Anolis sagrei: one gene and its partners. The protein of the gene in region 3 binds, or shares a complex with, the protein of the main gene of each other region. Links are inferred from orthologs where the notes say so. Each region holds a gene or a part of one and is shown on either strand. Other genes may lie near its edges.

Evidence for each region.
Region 1: the proteins of EDN1 (region 3) and EDNRA are in contact, whole or in part, in a cryo-EM structure (PDB 8HCQ), measured with the Homo sapiens proteins. The link is inferred for Anolis sagrei from reciprocal best matches to the Homo sapiens genes EDN1 and EDNRA. Residues at the interface, in NP_001403492.1 of Homo sapiens: Cys53, Ser54, Leu58, Asp60, Lys61, Glu62, Cys63, Val64, Tyr65, Phe66, Cys67, His68, Leu69, Asp70, Ile71, Ile72, Trp73; in NP_001948.1 of Homo sapiens: Tyr68, Gln72, Thr73, Lys74, Tyr129, Asp133, Ile136, Asn137, Lys140, Leu141, Gly144, Arg145, Trp146, Gln165, Lys166, Val169, Glu220, Phe224, Val227, Phe229, Tyr231, His236, Lys237, Thr238, Cys239, Met240, Leu241, Asn242, Gln252, Lys255.
Region 2: the proteins of EDN1 (region 3) and EDNRB are in contact, whole or in part, in a cryo-EM structure (PDB 8XWP), measured with the Homo sapiens proteins. The link is inferred for Anolis sagrei from reciprocal best matches to the Homo sapiens genes EDN1 and EDNRB. Residues at the interface, in NP_001403492.1 of Homo sapiens: Cys53, Ser54, Cys55, Ser56, Ser57, Leu58, Glu62, Cys63, Val64, Tyr65, Phe66, Cys67, His68, Leu69, Asp70, Ile71, Ile72, Trp73; in NP_000106.1 of Homo sapiens: Pro88, Pro89, Ile94, Glu95, Ile157, Asn158, Lys161, Glu165, Asp166, Trp167, Val177, Pro178, Gln181, Lys182, Val185, Phe240, Ile243, Met245, Tyr247, Leu252, Ile254, Leu256, Leu257, His258, Pro259, Lys270, Lys273, Leu277, Trp336, Leu339.

What each region holds. Positions count from the first base shown.
Region 1 is NC_090025.1:48,320,381-48,328,042, forward strand, and holds the start of EDNRA (endothelin-1 receptor), read left to right. Parts: upstream 1-4,613; 5' UTR 4,614-4,869; intron 4,870-7,662. UniProt on the Homo sapiens protein: Receptor for endothelin-1. Mediates its action by association with G proteins that activate a phosphatidylinositol-calcium second messenger system. The rank order of binding affinities for ET-A is: ET1 > ET2 >> ET3.
Region 2 is NC_090023.1:116,296,494-116,303,415, forward strand, and holds the start of EDNRB (endothelin receptor type B), read right to left. Parts: upstream 3,026-6,922; 5' UTR 2,882-3,025; intron 1-2,881. UniProt on the Homo sapiens protein: Non-specific receptor for endothelin 1, 2, and 3. Mediates its action by association with G proteins that activate a phosphatidylinositol-calcium second messenger system.
Region 3 is NC_090024.1:82,602,480-82,610,054, reverse strand, and holds the start of EDN1 (endothelin-1), read left to right. Parts: upstream 1-4,532; 5' UTR 4,533-4,813; coding exon 4,814-4,883; intron 4,884-7,575. UniProt on the Homo sapiens protein: Endothelins are endothelium-derived vasoconstrictor peptides. Probable ligand for G-protein coupled receptors EDNRA and EDNRB which activates PTK2B, BCAR1, BCAR3 and, GTPases RAP1 and RHOA cascade in glomerular mesangial cells.

The DNA of each region.
Region 1 (7,662 bases), on a different chromosome or scaffold from region 3:
ATTATCCATAAAACAATTGGAAGGGATTCCCAAAAAAGCTTTACAGCCTTTAAATGTGCTTTTGCATCAAAATATTTGGCATGAGTCATTCCATAAAAACAGGCTACCATGCTTTCCTCAAATTCTTCCCAAACAATTGAGACATTGCCCTCATTATACTAAGTGAACAATGCATATGAGGTTTTGGAGAATTCAATATGGTGCTGCTTCAGTTATGAGACAAACACTATGCCAGTTTGTAACTCTGAAGTGGAAAAGCCTCCTGTCCAAATGTGAATTAAAGATTCAGACACCAAAACAAACCAGTATTTTCTGTGCACAATCCTAAAAGAGTGGGAAACAGGAATGTATCTTTATTTTACTTGTTTCCTTTGTACAAGGAAAGAATCCCTGTAATAATTCCAAAACCAAAATAAAGTTTTTGTATCATGTAGTAAGCCAATCCTCTCCCAGACTTCAAAGGGATTTCTATATTATGGTAAAAGTTTACATATGTCACAAAGCACTTTCAAAAAGAACAGATATATTTAATTAACATAAAATATTTATGAGTAAGAAATACTGTGTTCTCAGAAATAAATAACATGTGTGAAAAAGATCCAAGTCTTACCATTACTATTATTGTGATATGTCTACAACAGGCTGCTGGCATGAAGAAATAGGGGTGAGGGGGTGGGGGATCAAAACTTCTTGATTTGATACCAAACTAGCTTTCCTGAGAAAAATAAACTTTGCAAGAGTGGACAAGGGATTTCCCGGAACAATTATTCCGCTGTATCTGTTGTTGTTCAATACAGACCAGCATTCAGAAAACTTGTTTTTGGAATGCAGCACCCAGATCCTCCAACCACATGGACGCTAAACTCTAAATCAACCTTACCTAATCTGGTATTCTTCAGATATTTTGAACTATTGGTGTTAAGGTAATCTGACACATCTGGGGAATGCCAAGTTGGGGAAGGATGACTTGGCATGGGTCATAGTGTCTAGAGATAATTTGTGTTGTCAAATAAATCTGGACAGTGACAGGCTAGATAAGGTCAATCTAAGTAATTTAGCAAGCAGATAACACTTTCAATAAAAGGAGCAGGCCCAATAAAGACATCAAACACTCCCATCTCACTCAAATGTAAACATGTCATGAAGGAAACTATTCACCACATGGAATTGACTTGGAAATCTAAGCCAACATATAAGGCGAGATCTGCCAACAAAAACGGAGTTGAAGCAAGGGAAAGAGAATGGAGCAACAGTATAACAGTGCAGTTGGCTCTGGTTGTGGTTCCTTTTTCTCTCTGCCCTTCCCTATAACTGTTTCCCCAAAGGTCATCAGATGCTCTTCCACAGGACCAATCTTGCCTACTGCCTCCCTCAGAACAGCATGCTTTCACATTTCAAGAAACCCTATATGCATAGAAGCAGTTTAGAGATAATGTGTATGAAACTTCCACATAAGTACTAACGGAAATACAGTTTTAAAAGATGGTCCCATTGACTGGGGATTCTGGGAGGTGTGACCCTGAACAGTAACCCTGCTTCTTCTTGATGCTATTCCATCCAGGCCCTTTTTTATTGTTGGAAAACTTTAAAAGATTGTATAGATGGGGAAATGCCTTCCCCCCTCATTTCTTTAACAACTGCATCCAATAACAGAATGAGTTTTGAATAGTTTGTGGTCTGCCTCATCTCTTAAACAGTGCAACAGAAGAATAGGTCTCTCCTCATATACGATACATAGATACACACGGAGAAAGAGAGAAAGAGAGAGAGAATGAGAACCTGGGAAAATATTTTGTATGTATATGAAACTGACTGCATTAACCCACCAAGGTACAAAACTAAATAAGGGGCTCATTAAGTAATCAACTTCATCCACAAGGTGCTATTTCTTTTAGATAGATAGATAGATAGATAGATAGATAGATAGATAGATAGATAGATAGACAGACATGCTATGTACAGGGTTTCCCAAGTTCCAAATTGTTTGGGAAATTGTAGCTCTTGAAGAGCTTGACAGTAGTGGCCCAAACATCTCAGACTCCTGGGATATGTTCTATGCTAGAGTTTCTACCCAAAGTGACCACAGAATCATGGTCCACTCCCAGACCACAGGAGAGGTCAGGAAATCCACTGGCCACGGTTGTAGGAGTGCAGGAGCAAAGGATATGCTATGTCATTTCTGATTTATGATGAAAAATACTGCTTAATGAATCACTCTTTCTATGCCTCCCTTTCTCATTTCCTATTTAGAGCAATTGTGATTTAGGCAATGTAAATATATGCCCTTATCATATAAAAACTGTTTCTCTAGAACTTTCCCCATTTGCTCAATAACCAACTGAAATATGTTGTCATCAACGCGTTCACGTATCTAAGCAACCAGACCATGCATCTAGAAAAATTCCAGGGACCACGTAACCCCCCCCCCCCCCATTCCTCCTCCCTCAATGGTGACTGTCATCTCTCCTGAACTCCATACTTCAAACTTTTCTTTACTGTGTCAAGGCTTTGAAAATCTATGTATATTTTTTTCTAAGTGTAAATCTCAAAGTAACTATTAAAATTATAGCTATCTAACTTCACATATGATCTATTTGTCTTACTTTGCTGAAACTAGTCTCAAAGTGAGCCAAGGGATTCAAGCTTTCCCCAAAAGCAATTTTGGAAATCTACATCTAATCCAACAGTTTTCTCTGTAAGATTTATTCAGAGGAGGTTTGCTGTTGCCTTCTTCTGAGAAAATATGACTTGCCTGATGTCTCCCAATAAGTTTCTGTGACTAAGAGGGAATTGAAGTCCCAACCATAGGAGTTACAGTTTTACAAAGTATCTATTAACCTTCTCTGCCAAAAAATGTTTGGACCGCCCCAAACTACAACTCCCAGGATTCCATAGTATTGAGCCATGGCAGTTAAAGTGGTGTCAAACTGTGTTAATTCTACAGTGCAGGTACACCTCCAGCCAGGGTCCTAGTCAAATGCCTAAACCACTGTACCACACTGGTTCTTCTTTTAACAACTCAATATTTATTTGGGGCCATGATAATGCATTCCCCAGACCATGCTGTGGTGCTTCTCATGCTCAGCTCTCTGCATGGAGCAAGAAAACACTGGAAGTCAGTCCGCACCAAGAGGTTTTGCAGTCTGAGGGCAAAGCAGCAAATGCTACTTGATCCCACAGCAAAGCTAAAATTTGGCATGATAAAGAACCACACACAGAGAGGCACATTTTCCACCTCCTATGAAGGCTATAGACATCTGTCCTACTTTGCCTACTGGTAAGGCAGTCACCTTGTCTCTCTCCTGAGGAATCTGTATAACAACCAAATGGCAACAGTAAGAACAAACCACAGAACCACAGACTTGTTTGAGATTGGAAAAGGAGTATGCAGGACTCTCATCCTACCTATTCAACTTGTATGCAGAACACATCATGCAACATGCAGGGCTTGATGAATGCAAGGCTGGGATAAAATTTACTGGAAGAAACATTAACAACCTTAGATATGCAGATGATACCATTCTGGTAGCTGAAAGTGATTCTGGCCATGAAAGCATTCGACAATACATAAAACATCTATTTCTGTTTTATTAACTATTCTAAAATGGAAGGAAAAAGGGAGAGGGGCCAACCAAGGGCAAGATGGGTGGATGGTATACTTGAAGGGACTGGCTTGACCTTGAAGGAACTGGGGGTGGCCACGGCCGACAGGAAGCTCTGGCCTGGGCTGGTACATGAGGTCACGAAGAGTCAGAAGTGACTGAATGAATAAACAACAAAAATCTTATCGAATCCAGGGAGCGGGGTGAGCTCCCATCTGTCAGCTCCAGATTCTCATGCAGGGACACGAGAGAAGCCTTCCACATCTGGGCTTCCCCTGGGCAACATCCTTGCAGATGGCCAATTCTCTCACACCAGAAACGACTTGCAGTTTCTCAAGTCACTCCTGACACAAAAAAAGAAGAAGAAGAACTTTATTTTTCTACTCCGCCTCTATCTCCCTGAAGGGACTCGGGGCAGCTTACATGGGGCCAAGCTTAGGGAACCACTTATAAATCATATATATATATATATATATATATATATATATATGAAAAGTTTTCATGAGATAATATGTTGTCCCTCCATACATTTTGCACCTGTAGTCCAACTGTCTTGTGCCAGCTGAGTTGCTGACCTGAAGACCTGAAGGTTGGCGGTCCAAATCTGTGAGACAGGGTTTGCTCCCGGTTGTCAGCCTCAGCTTCCCATGCAGGGACATGAGAGAAGCTTCCCACAAGGATGGTAAAACATTAAAACATCTCCTGGGCAATGTCCTTGCAAACTGCCAATTCGCTTACACCAGAAGCAACTTGCAATTTTTCAAGTCGCTCCTGACATGAAAAAAAAATCTTATAAATCATATAGTTTAAAATATATATACAAATGAAAAGTTTTCATGAGTTAATATGTGGTCTCCCCATACATTGTGTACCTGTAATCCAACTCTCAAACTATAACACCAAGGGGATGGGCCTCCTGCTTGCATGGAGGGCTCTGCACAGAGCCTTTCCAAGGAATCCTGGGCAGGAACTGGTTAAAGCACTTTGCCTCCCCTTTTTTGCAGAGCAGAGGCCGTCTGGGGGTGGGTTGCTCCTTCTTCTCGGACGGGACGTTGGCAGCCTCTCGGTTTGGGCTGGAGAGGGCTTCCCCCCTCTTTGGAATTGGGGAGGGGAGATGGGGAGAGGCTCTCTCCACTGGCAGAGGAGGAGGAGAGAGCAGCCATCCAGGCAGAAGTCGAGCACAACTCCTCCGAAAGAGACGCAGGCAGGAGCTCCTTCCTCCCCAAACTTGCACGTCCAGCTGGGGAAACAAATCCCTCCTCATACGGTAGGGTCTCATAAAAAAATACCCCCTTTTGTGAGTCTCCTGGAAGGGTTGGTCTCTTTGTGTTTGGACCACAGAAGGAAGGGAGGAAGGTATCAGGCTCTTTGGGAGATGCTGCCAGGGAGACTGCAGGGGGAAAGTGGCTGATCTTTCTGAAAGTGGCGGCGATTTTGAAATAGATGTGTGTATCTTGGTCTTGTGTGAAAGGAGAACGGATTGGGAGGGGGGGTGAGGAACAGTCCCTCTCTTCTGTGCCATCTAAAGTTCTTTGCTTTGTTTGAAAGTCCTTCTGAGAACTGGGAAGGTCAAGAAGTGGGAGGAAATGGCAGCAGATGCTGATTCAAGGCAAAAGCAGGCCCAGGGAGGCTACAATAGGAGGAGAGGAGATGGTGAACCCTTTCCAACAGCCTCCTTCCATTATTTCTTCCCTGCAGTTGAGGGCCCTTCCAGACAGGACCCAGATCCCAGGTTTTCTGCTTTAAACTGGAATATATGAGTCCACACTGCCAGAATAATCTGGGATAAACAAAAAAAATTGGGATCAGATCCTGGGATAAAGAGCCTGTCTGGAAGAGCCCTGAGAGGTATGAACACAGCAAGCCTCTATTCTGCCTTGGTTAGACCACACCTGGAATATTGTGTCCAATTCTGGGCACCACAATTGAAGAGAGATATTGACAAGCTGGAATGTGTCCAGAGGAGGGTGACTAAAATGATCAAGGGTCTGGAGATCAAGCCCTATGAGGAGCTGCTTAAAGAGATGGGCATGTTTAGCCTGCAGAAGAGAAGGCTGAGGGGAGACATGATAGCCATGTATAAATATGTGAGAGGAAGTCATAGGGACGAGGGAGCAAGCTTGTTTTCTGCTGCCCTGGAGACTAGGACGTGGAAGTTTCAAACTACAAGAAAGGAGATTCCATCTGAACATTAGGAACAACTTTCTGACTGTGATTGATGTTCAGCAGTGGAACTCTCTGCCCCGGAATGTGGTGGTGGCTCCTTCTTTGGAGACTTTTAAACAGAGGCTCCATCTGTCGAGAGTGCTTTGAATGCAATTTTCCTGCTTCTTTGCAGGGGTTTGGACTGGATGGCTCATGAGGTCTCTTCCAATTCTATGATTCTAAGGTACAAATTGAGCATCCCTTACCTGAAATGCTCCAAAAGGGCCACATGAACTTTATTTTGGTGATCCCTTGTAGAGCAAGGTTTTTTTTTGTGTGTGTCATGAGCGACTTGAGAAACTGCAAGTCACTTCTGGTGTGAGAAAATTGGTTGTCTGCAAGAACATTGCCCAGGGGACGCCCGGATGTTTTATCATCCTGTGGGAGACTTCCCTCATGTCCCTGCATGGGAAGCCGGAGATGACAGAAAGGAGCTCATCTGCGCTCTCCTCAGATTTGAACCTGCGACCTCTTGGTCTTCAGTCCTGCCAGCACAAGAGTTTAACCCACTGCACCACCAGGAGCTCCAAGGATGATGGACCTCCAAGTGTAATGTTTTGGAGTTGGGTCCATAGGTAGCTGTGGAGCTCTATTCTTGATCTACATGTTCTCCCACAGTGAGGAAATTAGTTTCCAGGTGGAAAGGATGGAAGGCAATGGAGAGAAGGAAAGAAGGAAGGAAGGAAGGAAGGAGAAAGAGAGAGGGGAAAGGAGTGAGGGAAGAGGGAAAGAAGGATGAAAGGGTGCAAGGGAAGGAAGAGGGAGAGATAAGGAAGGGAGTTAGGGAGGGAAGGAGGAAGGAAAAAGAAGGGAAAGAGGATGGAAGGCAATGGAGAGAAGGAAAGAAGGAAGGAAGGAAGGAAGGAAGGAAGGAAGGAAGGAAAGAGAGAGAGAGAGAGGAAAGGAGTGAGGGAAGAGGGAAGGAAGTTTTTTTTTTTTTTTGGTCGTGTCAGGACTGCAAGTTGCTCCTGGTATGAGAGAATTGGCCATCTGCAAGGATGTTGCCCAGGGGACGCCCGGATGATTTGACGTTTTTATCATCCTTGTGGGAAGCTTCTCTCATGTCCCCGCATGAGGAGCTGGAGCTGATAGAGGGAGCTCATCCGCCTCTCCCCGGATTCAAACCTGTGACCTGTTGGTCTTCAGTCCTGCCGGCACAGGGGTTTAACCCACTGTGCCACCGGGGGGTCCGGAAGGAAGGATGAAAGGGTGCAAGGGAAGGAAGAGAGCGAGAGGGAGCGATAAGGAACGGAGGGAGGGAAGGCAGAAGGGGAAAAAAGGAAGGAAGGATAGGATGGTGAAAGAGAGGAGAGCCTGAGAAAAGAGCCCAAGGGGCGCATCTGGTTCCTGGGCCTGGCTTTGCCCATACCTGGTGTAGATGCACCCTAAGAGACTGTGGCTTGCCCAAGGTTGTTGGGTGGATTTTCATGGCCAAATGGGGATTTGAACCCTATTCTCCTGAGTCTTGTCCAATACTGAAACCACTACAGCACACTTATGTATCTAGAAATATTTCAAAATTCAAAAGAATTTCAGGTCAGGGATGTTCAACCGGTAGTGTCAGCTGAGGTGTTCAAGGTCATTAGGGCAGTGAATCTGCTCTGGGGTCTAATCCAGATTTTAAAAGTGCTGTACAAAATGCAAAAGCTATTTGGGAGATGGGTTTAAGCTCCCTTTGCAACACCTTTAAGATTTCAGACTAAAACCCTGAACAATTGACTGCCGCCGAATAGAAAGACCCAGCCATATGCTTTCCATAGAGTTGCTGAACAGTCAAGAGACTATCAATTTAGAATCATCTAATTCTTAATGACTTAATGGCAGAATTTACCCTGTTTTCTTTGAAAAGGAAGGC
Region 2 (6,922 bases), on a different chromosome or scaffold from region 3:
GGGTGGACAGAAAAGCTTTGGAAGGGAATAAGCAAAAGCCTCAAATCTGCTTTGTGTCTCCTTGTGGAGAGAAAAAGATAGACCTAATACTAATACTGCTAATAATAACAATACTCCTGACCTCATAATATTTATAATATAATATATTATAGTTATATATAATATATATTTGTATATTATATAAATATATAAATGTATATATTATATAAATATAATATAAATGTATTTTTATCTCTCTCTCTCTCTCTCTCTATATATAATGTAATGTTAGTTTGTGGGATTAACATAACTCAAAAACCACTGGGTGGATTGACACCAAATTTGGACACAATACACCACTCAGGCTAAGGAGTGGCCATCCCTCATAAAAAACACAAAAACACAGCAGAAGAAACTTAAAAAGCCAACTTAAAAAACTTAAAAAGCCAAAAAACAAAAATTACATTACAATGCATGCGCAAAACCACACACACACATACACACATATATATATGCAAACACACATACACATTTACACAAATACATTGCACACACATATATACACACATAACACTCATATGCAGACTGGGCCACAGCAATGTGTGGCAGGGGATGGTTAGTGTGTGTGTGTGTGTGTGTGTATGTGTATATAATTGTTTGTGTGATTAACATAACTCAAAAACCACTGGGTGAATTGACACCAAATTTGGACACAAGACACCTATCGGGCCAACAAGTAACCATCACTCATAAAAACACTGAAAAACACAACAGAGGGGACTTAAAAAGCAAAAATAAAAATACATTTACAACGTATGTGCAAAACCACATACACACAAAACATATATACACAGACTGGGCCACAGCAATGCATGGCAGGGGACAGCTAGTGTGTATGTATGTGTGTGTGTTTGCCATACTTGTACCCCGCTCTTCTCTACCCCGACAGTGGGACTCAAGGCAGCTTACAATGGCCCAACGTTATGCCTCAACACAATCACTTAAACATTTCAAAAATTGCCACATATTAAACAGAGTTAAAACAGATTTAAAAAGTTAAAAACGTAGAAACATGCCATACAAGTTCATGGTCTGAGTCCATTATATTATAAATATTATAATATAAATGTATATATAATACAAATATTATATTTATATAGAATATATATTTATATAGAATAAAAGTATATATAATATAAATATTATAATATACATTTATATTATATATAAATATATTTATATATAATATAATATATTTATATATAATATTCATATTATTTATAAATAAATAATAATAAACTACTCTGAGAAATCCAAATTCAGACTGACAGAGTTTTGGAGCACATTACTCCTGACCTCACGATCATGTAAAAAAAAAAAAAGCTATATGGATCTTTGATGTTGCAATCCCAGATGACAGCAGAATTGTTGAGAAAAGGTTACACGATATGAGGATTGAAAGATCGAACTGCAAAGACTCTGGCACAAGCCAGTCAAGGTGGACCCAGTGGTGATGGGCACACTGACTGCAGTGCCTAAAGACCTTGGCCTGCTCTTAGAAACAATTGGAGCTGACAAAATTGCCATCTGTCAGCTGCAAAAGGCTACTCTACTCAGATCTGCACGCCTTATTCGCTGATACATCATACAGTCCTAGACACTTGGGATGTGTCTGACATGTGAGCAAATACAAAAGCCTGCTTATCTTGTTTGCTGTGTACTAATCTTGTTGTGTATCAAATAATAAACCAATATCTCATTTGGGCAATAATACCCCTATTACTTTTTAAAGTACATAAATTAAAGTACTTTAAATCCTATGGCTTTTGTAATATTTTTGTTAGAGTTATCTCATAGAATCATAGATTGATAGAGTTGGAAGAGACCACATGGGCCATCTTGTCCAACCATCTGCCATGCAAGAAAAGCCCAATCAAAGCATCCCCAACAGATGGTTGTTCAGCCTCTGTTTAAAAGCCCCGAAGGCAGAGAGTTCCACTGTTGAAAAGCTTTTCCAGTTAGGAAGTTCTTCCTAATGTTCAGGTTGAATCTCCTTTCCTGTGATTTGAACCCATTGCTCCGAGTCCTTCCACACAGTCTTATAACCCAGAATAGATGTCAGATAATCCACAATAGTTATCTGAGTCTACACTGCCATATCAATATCAGTTCAATGAGGATGGTATCCAGACTTTTGATTATTTAGTTGCCCTTAAAATGTTTCCATCTTTAAAACAAGGAACAAAGTTTCCCTATTGGAACAATTTTGCCTTTTTAAAAATATGCTCATTTGTTCAGTCCATCTCGGAGGGCATAAGGTGCTGGGACTTTACATTTCTTGAGGCTTGCTTAGGCAAGGAATATTCAGAGTTAGTTTAGTCAGTTTCTTTCCCCTATTCAAACAACAAGGATAGAAAAATCAGTTCCTGTATTCAGTAACATGAGTATAGTATTTGTACTAACTCAAAAACCATGTGAGATTTAGAAAAACCCTTCTTATTCAATTTGGAACAACCAGAGGAGCATCAATAACAATGCAAGTTTTTTTCTTGCATTGTTTATATTAATTAATGAAGTTAATTAATTCAGACTTGGCCATTCCATCAAAAAAAAAGAAGCCCAAGGCTTTCATACACCTGTTGAGGCAAACTGTCTTTGACCTGCTGCGTCTTGAGTTCTTCCAGTGTTTAGCTCTTAGGAATTATTTTCCCCCTCAATCTTTTTCATTAGGCAGTCAGTCAAATCCCACTGATTTCATTAACTCTGCTTCCAAGCAAGAGCTCATTGAAACGGATGGCTTAAAGAAAATGAAATAAAATGAGCATTACATTCAAACAAGGCACATTCTGCTTTTCTCCGTAAAACCACATGTTCTTCTTTAATGGGTTTAATTGCTCTTTACCTTGAAAATACTCCAAGCAGCGAAAGCTCTTTCTTGTCTTAGACAGCCAGACTGCACACTCCTTGGCAGGAACCTTCACTTCACGGGGGTTTTGTAGCAGCTGGGAAGCAGAGATGAGTGAGCTGAAAACTGTTATGTGCTTAATTTCTAGCAAATGGGGACAGCCTCCCTGTTTCTTAAAACATGCACGCACATCTATCCCATCAATCATTGTCAAACCCCACCCACCCCTTCCAAGAGAGCAACAACCTTGCCCCTCTGTCAGTTCTGAAGGCCTGGAGAGCGTCAACAGAAAATGTCTTGCTGGTGGAGGCATGCAACAGAGGCAGTGTGCATAGATGGGCAACACAAGTAGGGAAAGCATGTGTTTTTTCCTTCAAAAATATACAAATGTTTGAGAGCCAATATGTACAGTAGTTAGAATAACCCTGTCCTCAACCAGCTGCCATTCATATGCGTCAATTGCAGTGCCCATCTTCTCAGAAGATTATTATTATTTATTTCATGTTGAAAGCATTGCATATATAAGTATAAAACTGATAAAAATAGAAGGAGCACAAGCGGCTAAATAATCTTTGATCAAAACCGGGCAAGAGACCACATTGCCTGGAGCTTTAAACAATTCTTCCTCTGTGCTTGAGGCAGGGCATTGTGGACAAGCATACAGAGGAGTGGTGGTTCTCATGTAGCTTTTCCTTGTTGAGTCTACTGGGAGGAGGCTGATAGCCATGCAGTGGATGGCTTTCACAGTGTTCAACCTTATTTCTCTCACAATTAGCAGCAACTTCCCATTGCACATCCAGGGGCAATGCCAGCTAACGTGTAGAGTCTATGAACAGGTGTAGGTTTGAGACATCCTGTGATAATTCTGCATGTTTCGTTCAGTGCTATGTTCACCTGCTTCGTGTGAACAATCTTGTGCCAAACAGGGCAGGCATACTCAGCAGTTGAGTAAGACAAGGCCAGGGCTGATGTTCTTATTAATTTTGGGTCATCTCAGGAGATGCTGTTCACCAGATTTTAGACAAGGATGGGTTGTAGGTCAGAATAGAACTACTGGGTGAATGCGGAGCCTGAGATTTGGATCTTCACATTCCTCCCTTGAGACCATTGCCCCAGTCAGTTTGGCTAGTTGTGACGTTATCTGAAAGATTCCGAGAGCTGTAGTCCAAAATATGACTTTTCTGAACTGTATATCTCTAATTTTATTTTTTGTACATTTCTAGATGATTTTTAATAATTCTCAAACATACTGTTCCTCAGCTCTATAGATAGATCTTCATATCCTTGGGTTCTGAATCCACAGATTTACCCAACCATGGCTTTGTTTAACCTAAAAAGCAAACCTTGATGTTGCCGTATATGCTGACGTGTAGGCATATTCTTCTGTAGCATCCTAACATTTCACAGATCCTCAGACTCTCCCTGAAACTTGTTTGTATTGTTTGGTGTTTTTTAAAATAAAGATGCCATTTTATTATGCCATTGCATATAATGAAATGTAAGCATCTACAGATTTTAATATCTATCGGGGAGGGTCCTGGAACCAAACCCCAAAGGATATTCATATTCTCCTGTATTTTTAAAAAGTTCATCTTCTTTCCTCAAATACCTACAAATTGAGATTTCAGCACCATTGTGAAAAGGTAGCAAATGTGACTCAAGGTGCTCTGGGAGACAATCCAGATTGACAAAATATTAAATGAATCAGCATAGATAGTTCACAATAGCAGAATGACAACACCCCCCCCCCCCCCCACAAAAAACCATGTGGAACACCATGTAATGAAATCTCCTTGATTTCCAGATTCATGGGCTGAATCTGAATTTCTGATGGTCTAGAACTCCCATTGGTAGCACCTTGTAGATGGTAAAACAAGGATAATTCACATTCCCATAAGTTCAGGATCGATACACTTGAGTTTTAACAAATTTGTATATACAACAGAAAGTGAAGTTGCCATATGGAGTAATATGCAACTATATGGTTAATGCACAGCTTGGCCCTTAGTCTTGGATTCTAGCTGGGAGTGAGTTCATCAGAGAATCAAAGGTATTTGTACAAAAAGCAAATCACTGTGGGAGAGCATTTCTTGCTTGGTTAAAGGAATTCAGTTTAAAAATCCCCATTTCACTCATCATTAGCAGGGCTTAGTTTCCAGGGTTCCGGTAGCACAGGATGTGCATGGGAACAAAGTAGTTGCGATAAGTGATTCATTTTCCCCCAGTTATATTGCACCTGCTCATTATCAGCTCACAGGAAATCTGTTAATTGCAGCCACAGCATGTGTGGCTAAACCCTGAACAATGACAAGACCTCCGTAGTGCAAGGCTCCTGTCCCATACATCGTCTGTCAGCCGCATGCTTTACCTACTGTGGGATTGAAACACCACTGTTCCCTGGTTTCCTACAGACATTGTCAGCATGGTATGGGAAACACTTATACAGAACTATCTCTGGTAATCAAGGGCCTCTTTTGGGGGATGTATAGTTTTTAATGAAATACAGAATATTTACAACATTCAAATAACCAAATCCATTTAAAAAAGTTATATTGATGCTATAATTATTTACATTCACTGAACATTTTTCATGATTTTTACAGTAAGCAAATCCATCTTGCCCTTCCCACATATACAACTGATGATTCATCCTGAAAATGCATTTATTAATTGATTAAAATATTTGTACCCTGCCCTAGGTCAGGTGATCTTAGTGCTGCAGATAAGCCACTATTTATGACCCAGCTTAGGCACTACTCTAATATGTGTTGGCATCAGGACCGATTGGCTCAGTGTGAAGGTGTTGCCAGATGTGCTGCACTTGTTTAATGTCAGCAGGCCACAAGGCTAGAAGCCAAGGGGAGGGGACTGTGGGAAAAACCAGTGAATGCAGTCACTTGGGCCTACTGGGCCATTTGGAAGAAGACAGAGAGCACTTGTTTATTGAGTCAACATAGTGTGAGGTTTTGACATCAGAAGTGCCCATGCAACTGGAACGAAAGATGGGACCAATCTCTCCACTTTCTTCCTGGTTGTGCTGATTTCAAAATGGGACACCAGAGATGACCAGGACCTCGCATAGAGCTCTGTGAGCAGTGGCATGACCCATCCCCCTTTCCCTCCACTGATGATCATAAGGAAAAGTTGATGGTGGTGGATCATTGGACGTGTCCAAATTATCCAGCCATCCCAATGGCCCTGAAACCTCTGGATACTTTAGAGCATTGTTTCTCAAATTCTACTCCTCTTAGTATTTTGGACTTCAGCTCCCAGAAATCCCATCCAGCTTACCAGCTGTTAGGACTGGTTTCCAGCAGTCTCTGAAGCATCCTCATGACTTACATGAGGATATCCCAGGTGGCGCAATGGGCTAAACCCTTGTGCCAGCAGGATTACTGACAAAAAGGTCTGCAGTTTGAATCCAGGGAGCGGGATGAACTCCTGTCTGTCAGCTCCAGCTTCTTTCAGGGACATGAGAGCAGCCTTCCATAGGATGGTAAAACATCTGGGCGTCCCCTGGGTAATGTCCTTGCAGATAGTCAATTTTCTCACACTTGAAGTGACTTGCAGTTTCTCAAGTCACTCTTAACAATAATAAAAAAAATGACTGACACAGGGCAAAGCTGGTTTAACCTAGAAAAACTCCAGATTAATCTAGCATCTTTCTATGTCCTTCTTCCATCAATAAGCAATGGTTGCGGCAAAAAAGCTTTTAATTTGCTTTAGTTTCTTTCTTTCTTTCTTTCTTTCTTTCTTTCTTTCTTTCTTTCTTTCTTTTAAAATTGCTTTTATTTGGTTAGTGTCTTAAATTAACCTGCTCCATGTTATAATTGTATTTTTTAAATTGAAAAAATTGATTTGATTGTGATATCTTGTTTAAGAAGAAATGGTGCAAATATAACATCCCTGAGATATGTAGCCTTTTTCATTTTATGCAGCGTTTTGTAAATCTTCCATAATTTACTTGTAGCAAGGGAAAGTTTCAGTAAATCTTTGATGTGATCCTTTATTCTAGGAGCCAAACTTTGCTGAGTGTAT
Region 3 (7,575 bases):
ACATTCCAGGGTACTTAAGTTTAGGAGACTTTAAAATCCTGCTCTGTCGAGACCATTTAGCTTTGGCAAATTCAGAGAATTATTGAGGGAATGAGGGAGATATACAAGTGGTCCTCAATATGTGGCTCCCCATGTGTTTTGATATGTCACTTTCCAAAAACTCTCCCTAACACAGCCAAAAATGTGGGATTCTGGGAGATGTCATTCTGCCATTCTAGGAAAGTAAATGTTGAGAATTATTTATTTATTTATTTGCAGCATTTGTAGCCCGCCTTTCTCAGCCTTACAGCAACTCAAGGCGGCTTACAAAATTGGCGGAATTTAATGCCAATTTTGTAATTGGCATTTTGTAATTGGCATTTTAATTCATAAAAATACAGTTAAAGCATTCAACCTAATATTATAAAAGCCATATAAAACCATTAAAAACATATCATCACCAGTTAAAACATTATCCAGCAGCATCGTCTAGCCATTCCATGTTCATTCTTCCTATTTCATAATTATTTATTCCGCTGCATTTCCAAACAAGCACTGATCTAATCCAACTGGCTGCTCAGCACAGAAATCTTTCCATTGCAACTGTCTTGGTAACTGCTGAACCACTTCTTAAATACCTCCAGTGAAAACAATCCACCACATTCTGAGGCATCTCTTTCCATTGTCATGTTGTTACCATTAGGACATTTCTCATCCCAAACACCAGACTTGTAAATCCACAGAGCTACAGAGGCCCCCTGGTGGCACAGCGGGTTAAACCACTGAGCTGCTGAACTTGCTGACCGAAAGGTCGGTGGTTCAAATCCAGGGAATGGGGTGAGCTCCCACTGTTAGCCAAACTTCTGCTAACCTAGCAGTTCAAAAACATGTAAATATGAGTAGATCAATAGGTACCGCTTCTGCGGGAAGGTAATAGCGCTCCTTGCAGTCATGCTGGCCACATGACCTAAGAGGTGTCTATTGACAATGCCAACTCTTCGGCTTAGAAATGGAGATGAGCACCACCCTCCAGAGTCAGACACGACTATACTAAATGAAGGGGAAACCTTTACCTTTATAGGCATGACCTATGCAGCCAAGATTGAACTGTTCATCTACTTGATGGAACCGTTCAGCTCCATACTACGTTGGCTGTCAGTGAAAGTTATCTCAGGCTGGATCTTCATTTCCCTGTATCCCAGGATCTGATCTCAGATTATCTGTTTATTCCAGATTATCTGAGTGTGGACTCATATAATCCAGTTCAAAGCAGATAGTCTAGGATCAGATTCTGTGATATAGCGCAGTGTAGATCTAATCCAGACTCAGAGTATCCCATCATTGTCTCAATGTTGTTCCAGGACCTCCAGAAGTTGCAGTCCAAAGGAATAATTTTTCCAAGCTCTGTTCCCCACATGATTCCCCCTTGTATTAGTAGAAAATGGGAAGTTTCATAAAGTAAAACCAGAAGGTGAGTGGAAAGTGATTTTAAACGTCGGATAGGACTTGCATACTTTCAGAGTCAGCCAGTTCTTCTGTGCTGTAGAATTATTAAGGCTCAATACCATGGAATCATAGTTGGAGATGCTTTTATTTATTTAACGTGTCAGGAGCAACCAGACATTTGCATTACATTTTTAACAAAACAAACAAACACACAGACAGACAAAACACAATGTTTGCAAGCTTGATAGTTGATTCAATGTCCTTTGACCAGTATCTGGCCATTTGGAGTGCCTCTGGTGTTGCCATTGTGCATGTAGCAGGGCTCAGGTTGCATTGCAGCAGGTGGTCAGTGGTTTGCTGTTCTCCACACTTGCATGTCGTGGATTCCACTTTGTAGCCCCATTTCTTGAGGTCGGCTCTGCATCTCGTGGTGCATCTCGTGGCGCCTTCCAAGCCGCACAGTTTTCTGTGTGCCCAGGGGGGAGTCTCTCTTTTGGTACCAGCCATTGATTGAGGTTCTGGGTTTGAGCCTGGTTGGAGATGCTGAGAAGCAAGAATTCTTTGACAGAGAGGGCTAAAGATTTGGTAAAACGACAACTCTATCGCATTCAGCCAGGGCAGTCAAAGTGTCAAACTGCATTCATTTTACAGTGTAGAGGCACTCACAGTGACTAACATGAAAAAGAACACTGACCCAGCAGAGCGAGGGAGAAGAATGAAATGTAAAATGCATGGGGTAATCAGTAATGAAGCTATCGCCCACCTTATCAGTTTATGCACAAGATCACACAGACTGGATATAAGAAATGTTGTGAAATACTGCAATGATACTCTGGAATCTGTGCAAGATTATGATCTACCACCTGCAAAGAAATAGTGGGAACACAAGAATGAAAGAATTGTCAGAAATGTTGAAGTAAACATCTTAGCAGAGAGCCAACATTGTGTTCGTGGTTTGAGCACTGGACTCCAATTCTAGAGACTGGGATTTGAATCCCCACTCAGCCATAGAAAGCCATTGGATAACCTTGGGCAAGTCGCACTTTCTCAGCCTCAGGAAACTGTGATTTCTTCTGCTTAAGGTCAACATAAGTCGGAAACAACTTGACACCTCTCAATAATACCTAATAGACTGTGGTGCCTCGGCACTACAGAATAAATGCAGTCACCACTTGAGCTGTGATGGTTCAACATTATGGAATCCTGAGATTGGTAGTTTGGCAAGCACTAGCACTCTTTGGCTGGGAAGGTGAAACTATAACTCCCAGGTTTCTACAGCATTGAGCTATGGTGGTTATAGTGTAGTCAAACTGAATTCATTCTAAAGTGTTGAAGCACCCTGACAAATAATAGTGTCCTTTGGGTGGGAAACATCTTTGCAGATGACAACTTTGAACTGCATTGGGTCAATGCTATGGAAGCGTGGGATTTGTAGTTTGCTGAGACACCAGCACTCTTTGGCAGAGACTGCTAAATGCCTTGAAAATGTGCATTTTTTCCATGTCAGGAGCAACTTGAGAAAGTCGCTTCTGGTGTGAGAGAATTGGCCATCTGCAAGGACATTGCCTAGGGGGTGTTGTGGGAGGCTTCTCTCATGTCCCTGTATCAGAAACTGGAGCTGACAGATGGGAACTCACCATGCTCCCTGTGGTCAACAGTCCTGCCGGCAGGGGCTCCTTATCTCCACAGTAGAATGAATGCAGTTTGACACCACTTGAGCTGCCATGGCTCAATGCTGTGGAATCATGAGAGTTATAGTTTGGTAAGCCACCAGCACTCTTTGGCCGAGAAGATTACAGAGCGTGTAAAAATACAGTACTGTGTCTATTTATGATGCACCAGGGTTGCCCTCTCTGCCAGGCAAGGCCTTCTCTCTGTGATCGCTAAGGGTGTACATTGATCTACTCACATTTGCATGTTTTCGAACTGCTAGGTTGGCAGGAGCTCCCCCCGCTCCCCCGATTCAAACCACCGACCTTTCAATCAGCAAGTTCAGAAGCTCAGCAGTTTAATCCAATGCACCACCAGGTTTATTTACTGTATAAATAAACATAATAGTAGTAAGGGGGCCTCTCTACTGCAGAATGAATGCAGTTGGACAAACGTTAACTGCTCAATGCAATAGAATCCTGAGATCTGTAGTTTTGCAAATCCTTGAGCCTCCTCTGCCATGGAGTGCTGGTGCCTCACCAAACTACAACTCCCAGGAGACTTGAGAATGCTCTTTGAATGTGGGTGAACTATAAATCCCATTAACCACAACTCCCAAGTGACAAAATCAATTTTTTGAGTGATGGTCACTCCTTGGGTTAGTAGGGTCTTGTGCCCAAATTTGGCAGCAATTCGTCCATTGGATTTTTAATTATGTTACTCATTGTTTGGATCCACATGTGTTGGTGTGGCCCACTCTGGTGGTCATGTAGGTTCTGTGTGGGAGGTTTGGCCCAATTCTATCGTTGGTGGGGTTCAGAATGCTCTGTGATTGTAGGTGAACTATAAATCTCAGCAACTACTACGCCCAAATGTCAAGATTCTATTTCCCCCAAACTGCACCAGTGTTCACATTTGGGCATATTGAGTATTCGTGCAGAGTTTGGTCCAGATCCATCATTGTTTGAGTCCACAGTGATCTCTGGGTGTAGGTGAACTACAACTCCAAAACCAATGGACACTGCCCACCAAACCCTTCCAGTATTTTCTGTTGGTCACGGGACATTACATTTTTATTTATATAGATTTAATTTAATTAACTGCCAGCGTTCAATGCAATAGAATCCAGAGACCTGTAATTTTGCAAGTCCTTGAGCTTCCTCTGCCCTGGAGTGCTGGTGCCTCACCAAACTGCATGGCCTTGAGCCAGGTCAGATCAAGAGGTGTGGGACTGCATTGACTCCTTTTGCAGTGGAGAACCTATGCAGAATGACTCGAGAGCGAGTGCGCCAGCGCGCCCCCTGCCGGCCGAGCCTTGGAGGCGCCCCTCCTGGGCCCGGGGGCTGCCCTTGCTTTTTCCCCCTGGCCAGGTCTGCGCCGGGTGTTTGTTTTCCTGTGCGAGCCTGCTTGCCTGCCTGCCTGCTTGCCTGCCCCTTTGCCTTTGCCTTGGCCAGACGGCGTCTGCCCCGCTCAGAGAAACTCGCGCGATTTCCTCCCCGGCCTCCCCTTATCTCGCCCCGCACGTTGCCTCTCGGTGACTAATCGCACAATAACATTGTCTCCGGATCAAATCAAAGCCCGGGGCTGTTTACCCGGCGCTCTATAAAAGCAGCCGCGGGGAAGGCGGGCCAGGCAGAAGCGCTCCGGCAAGCAAGGCAGCCAGTCAAGACTCAGGAGCCGACCCGCTTTTACCAAAAGGATACTTTACACTCGTGGGAAAAAGAGAAAAAGAAACACAATGGGGATGGATTACGCGCGGCTCATCCTTCCTCTGCTCATGGTCATGAGCCAAGGAGTTCCGCGGGCAGGTAAGAAAGAGATGCCGCAAGCTTTTCTTTTGGAGGAGATCCTTGCTGGATTTTACAGCCACCTTTTGACGGAGAGGCTGCCCAGGAAGGTGGGAAGCCCTCTGAATGGATGCAGTTTGACACCACTTTCCTGCCAAGGCTCAAAGCTATAGGATTCTTCTCTGCCAAAGATTGATGCTTACCTCACTAAGCTGCAACTTCCAGGATTCCTTGAGCCGTGGGGTCAAACTACATTCATTCCACAAGCAGGCAGGGGCAAACTTTAGTCCTCCAGGTGTTTTGGACTCCAACTCCCACCAATCCTAACAGCCTCAGGCCCTTTCCTTAAGCGGCTGAGGGAAAAAAGAAAAGGACCTGAAACTATTAGGAATGGTGGGAGTTGGAGTCCAAAACACTTGGAGGGAAGGCCCAAGTTGGCCCATGCCTGGAATAGATGCAAACCTCTGGCTAAGCAGGAGGGCAACTAAAATGATCAAGAGAACAAGCTCAATGAGGAGCGGCTTAAAGAGCTGGGCATGTTTAGCCTGAAGAAGAGAATGGTGACAGGAGACATGATAGCCATGTATAAATATGTGAGAGGGAAGAAGGAGCAAGCTTGTTTTCTGGAGACTAGGGCACGGAGCTATGGCTTCAAACTACAAGAAAGGAGATTCCACCTGAATATTAGGAAGAACTTCCTGACTTTGAGAGCTGTTCAGCAGTGGAACTCTCTGCCCCGGAGTGTGGTGGAGGCTCCTTCTTTGGAGGCTTTTAAACAGATGCTGGATGGCCATCTGTCGGGGGTGCTTTGAATGCAATATTCCTGCTCCTTGGCAGAATGGGGTTGGACTGGATGGCCCATGAGGTCTCTTCCAACTCTATGATTCTATGATAGCCTTTGGGGCCAGGGTTGCTTCACTGCTTTGTCATATTTTGAACTGAACTGACTTTCCTCCCAAGTTCACACTAAATAAAGGCCCCAATTTGAAGGAGGATGTCTATTGGGGAGGTGTGTCAATGTGTTGAAGGAATGCTCTTGGGCACTACTTTTCACTGCCACGGTTCGTCTCCAGAGGTACCAAACTGCAAGGCTCACGAGTCCATCGCACTGAGCCATGGCAGCTAAAAGTGGTGTCAAAGGGGATTCATTCTACAGTGCAGATGCTCCTTAAAGGCAGAGAATGTTGGGATCCTTCGCCTGGATCAAAAGATCCTTTTAGCTTATGGAGGTTGGGGTTGCGATGTGGCCTCAAGTTTTGCAGAATGGGGGCAGAAGGAGGGGAAGTCATAGGGAGAGGCTTGTTTTCTGCTGCCCTGGAGACTATGGACCCTTCCACACAGCCCTGTATCCTACATAATCTTAGTGTGAACTCCGATAACCCAATTCAAAGCAGATATTGTGGGGTTTTCTGCCTTGATATTCTGTGTGGAAGGACCCACAGATAACCCAGCACAAAGCAGATATTGTGGGGTTTTCTGCCTTGATATTCTGGGATATAGGGCTGTGTGGAAGGGCTCTAGGATGTGGAGCAAACTACAGGAAAGGAGATTCCACCTCAAACTACAGGAAAGGAGATTCCACCTTAATATAAGGAAGAACTTCCTAACTATACGAGCTGTTCATCAGTGGAACTCTCTGCTCTAGAGTGGGTGGAGGCACCTTCTTTGGAGGCTGGATGGCCACCGTTTGGGGCTGCGATTTTCTTGCTTCTTGGCAGTGGGTTGGACATGAGGTCTCTTCCAAGTCTATGATTCAATGGAAAGCATGAGTCCCATTTGGCTGGCACCTGGGAAGGGATATGCCTGAAGGTAAAGTTGAGCTCAGAGCTGCCCAGAATGGAGCTGGGAATGCAGTTTGGCACATGGACCAGGATGCCCTTTCCTAAATAAACAAAATACAAACCTGAAGGAGTGGGGAAACCCGCTATGATTTCTTTGGAGTGTGTCCTTCCCCGGATTAGTCTTTTTCTAGTACCTATGGGAGTGTTTTCGCAGCATCTTCCGCAGAGCTGAAAAGTTTCCAAGGGCTCATTCATGCTATAGAATGAATGAAGCCTGACACTGTCAGGGTTCAATGCTATTGAATCGCGAGAGATGTAGTTTGACAAGGTTTTGGTGCCTCATGAAACTTCAAATCCCAGGATTCCATAGTAGTGAGCTATGGCAGTGAAGTGGTATCAAAACCTATCAATGCTACAGTGTAGATGCCCATCACTGCTGCATTGTGAGAGTACTATGATTCCACTTTCACTGCCATGGCGAGATCCTCGCTTCTCAGCTAGGTAAAGATAAAGGTAAAGGTTTCCCCTTGACATTAAGTCTAGTTGTGTCTGATTTTAGGGGGTGGTGTTCATATCAATTTCTAAGCCAAAGAGCCGGTGTTGTCCATAGATGCCTCCAAGGTCATGTGGCTAGCATGACTGCATGAAGCCCTGTTACCGTCCCGCCAAATTGGTACCTATTGATCTACTCACATTTACATGTTTTCGAACTGCTAGGTTGGCAGTAGGAACCCTTGGGCATCACTAAACTACACACTTCAAATTCCCACACCATGTTGTGTGGCAGGTGAACTGGAACAACAGCAGTAGGCAAGCTTAGAGTGCTAGAACCAGTGCCACATTTAAAATCATAGAATCATGGAGTTGGAAGAGACCTCATGGGCCATCCAGTCCAACCCCCTGCCAAGAGGCAGGAAAATTGCATTCAAAGT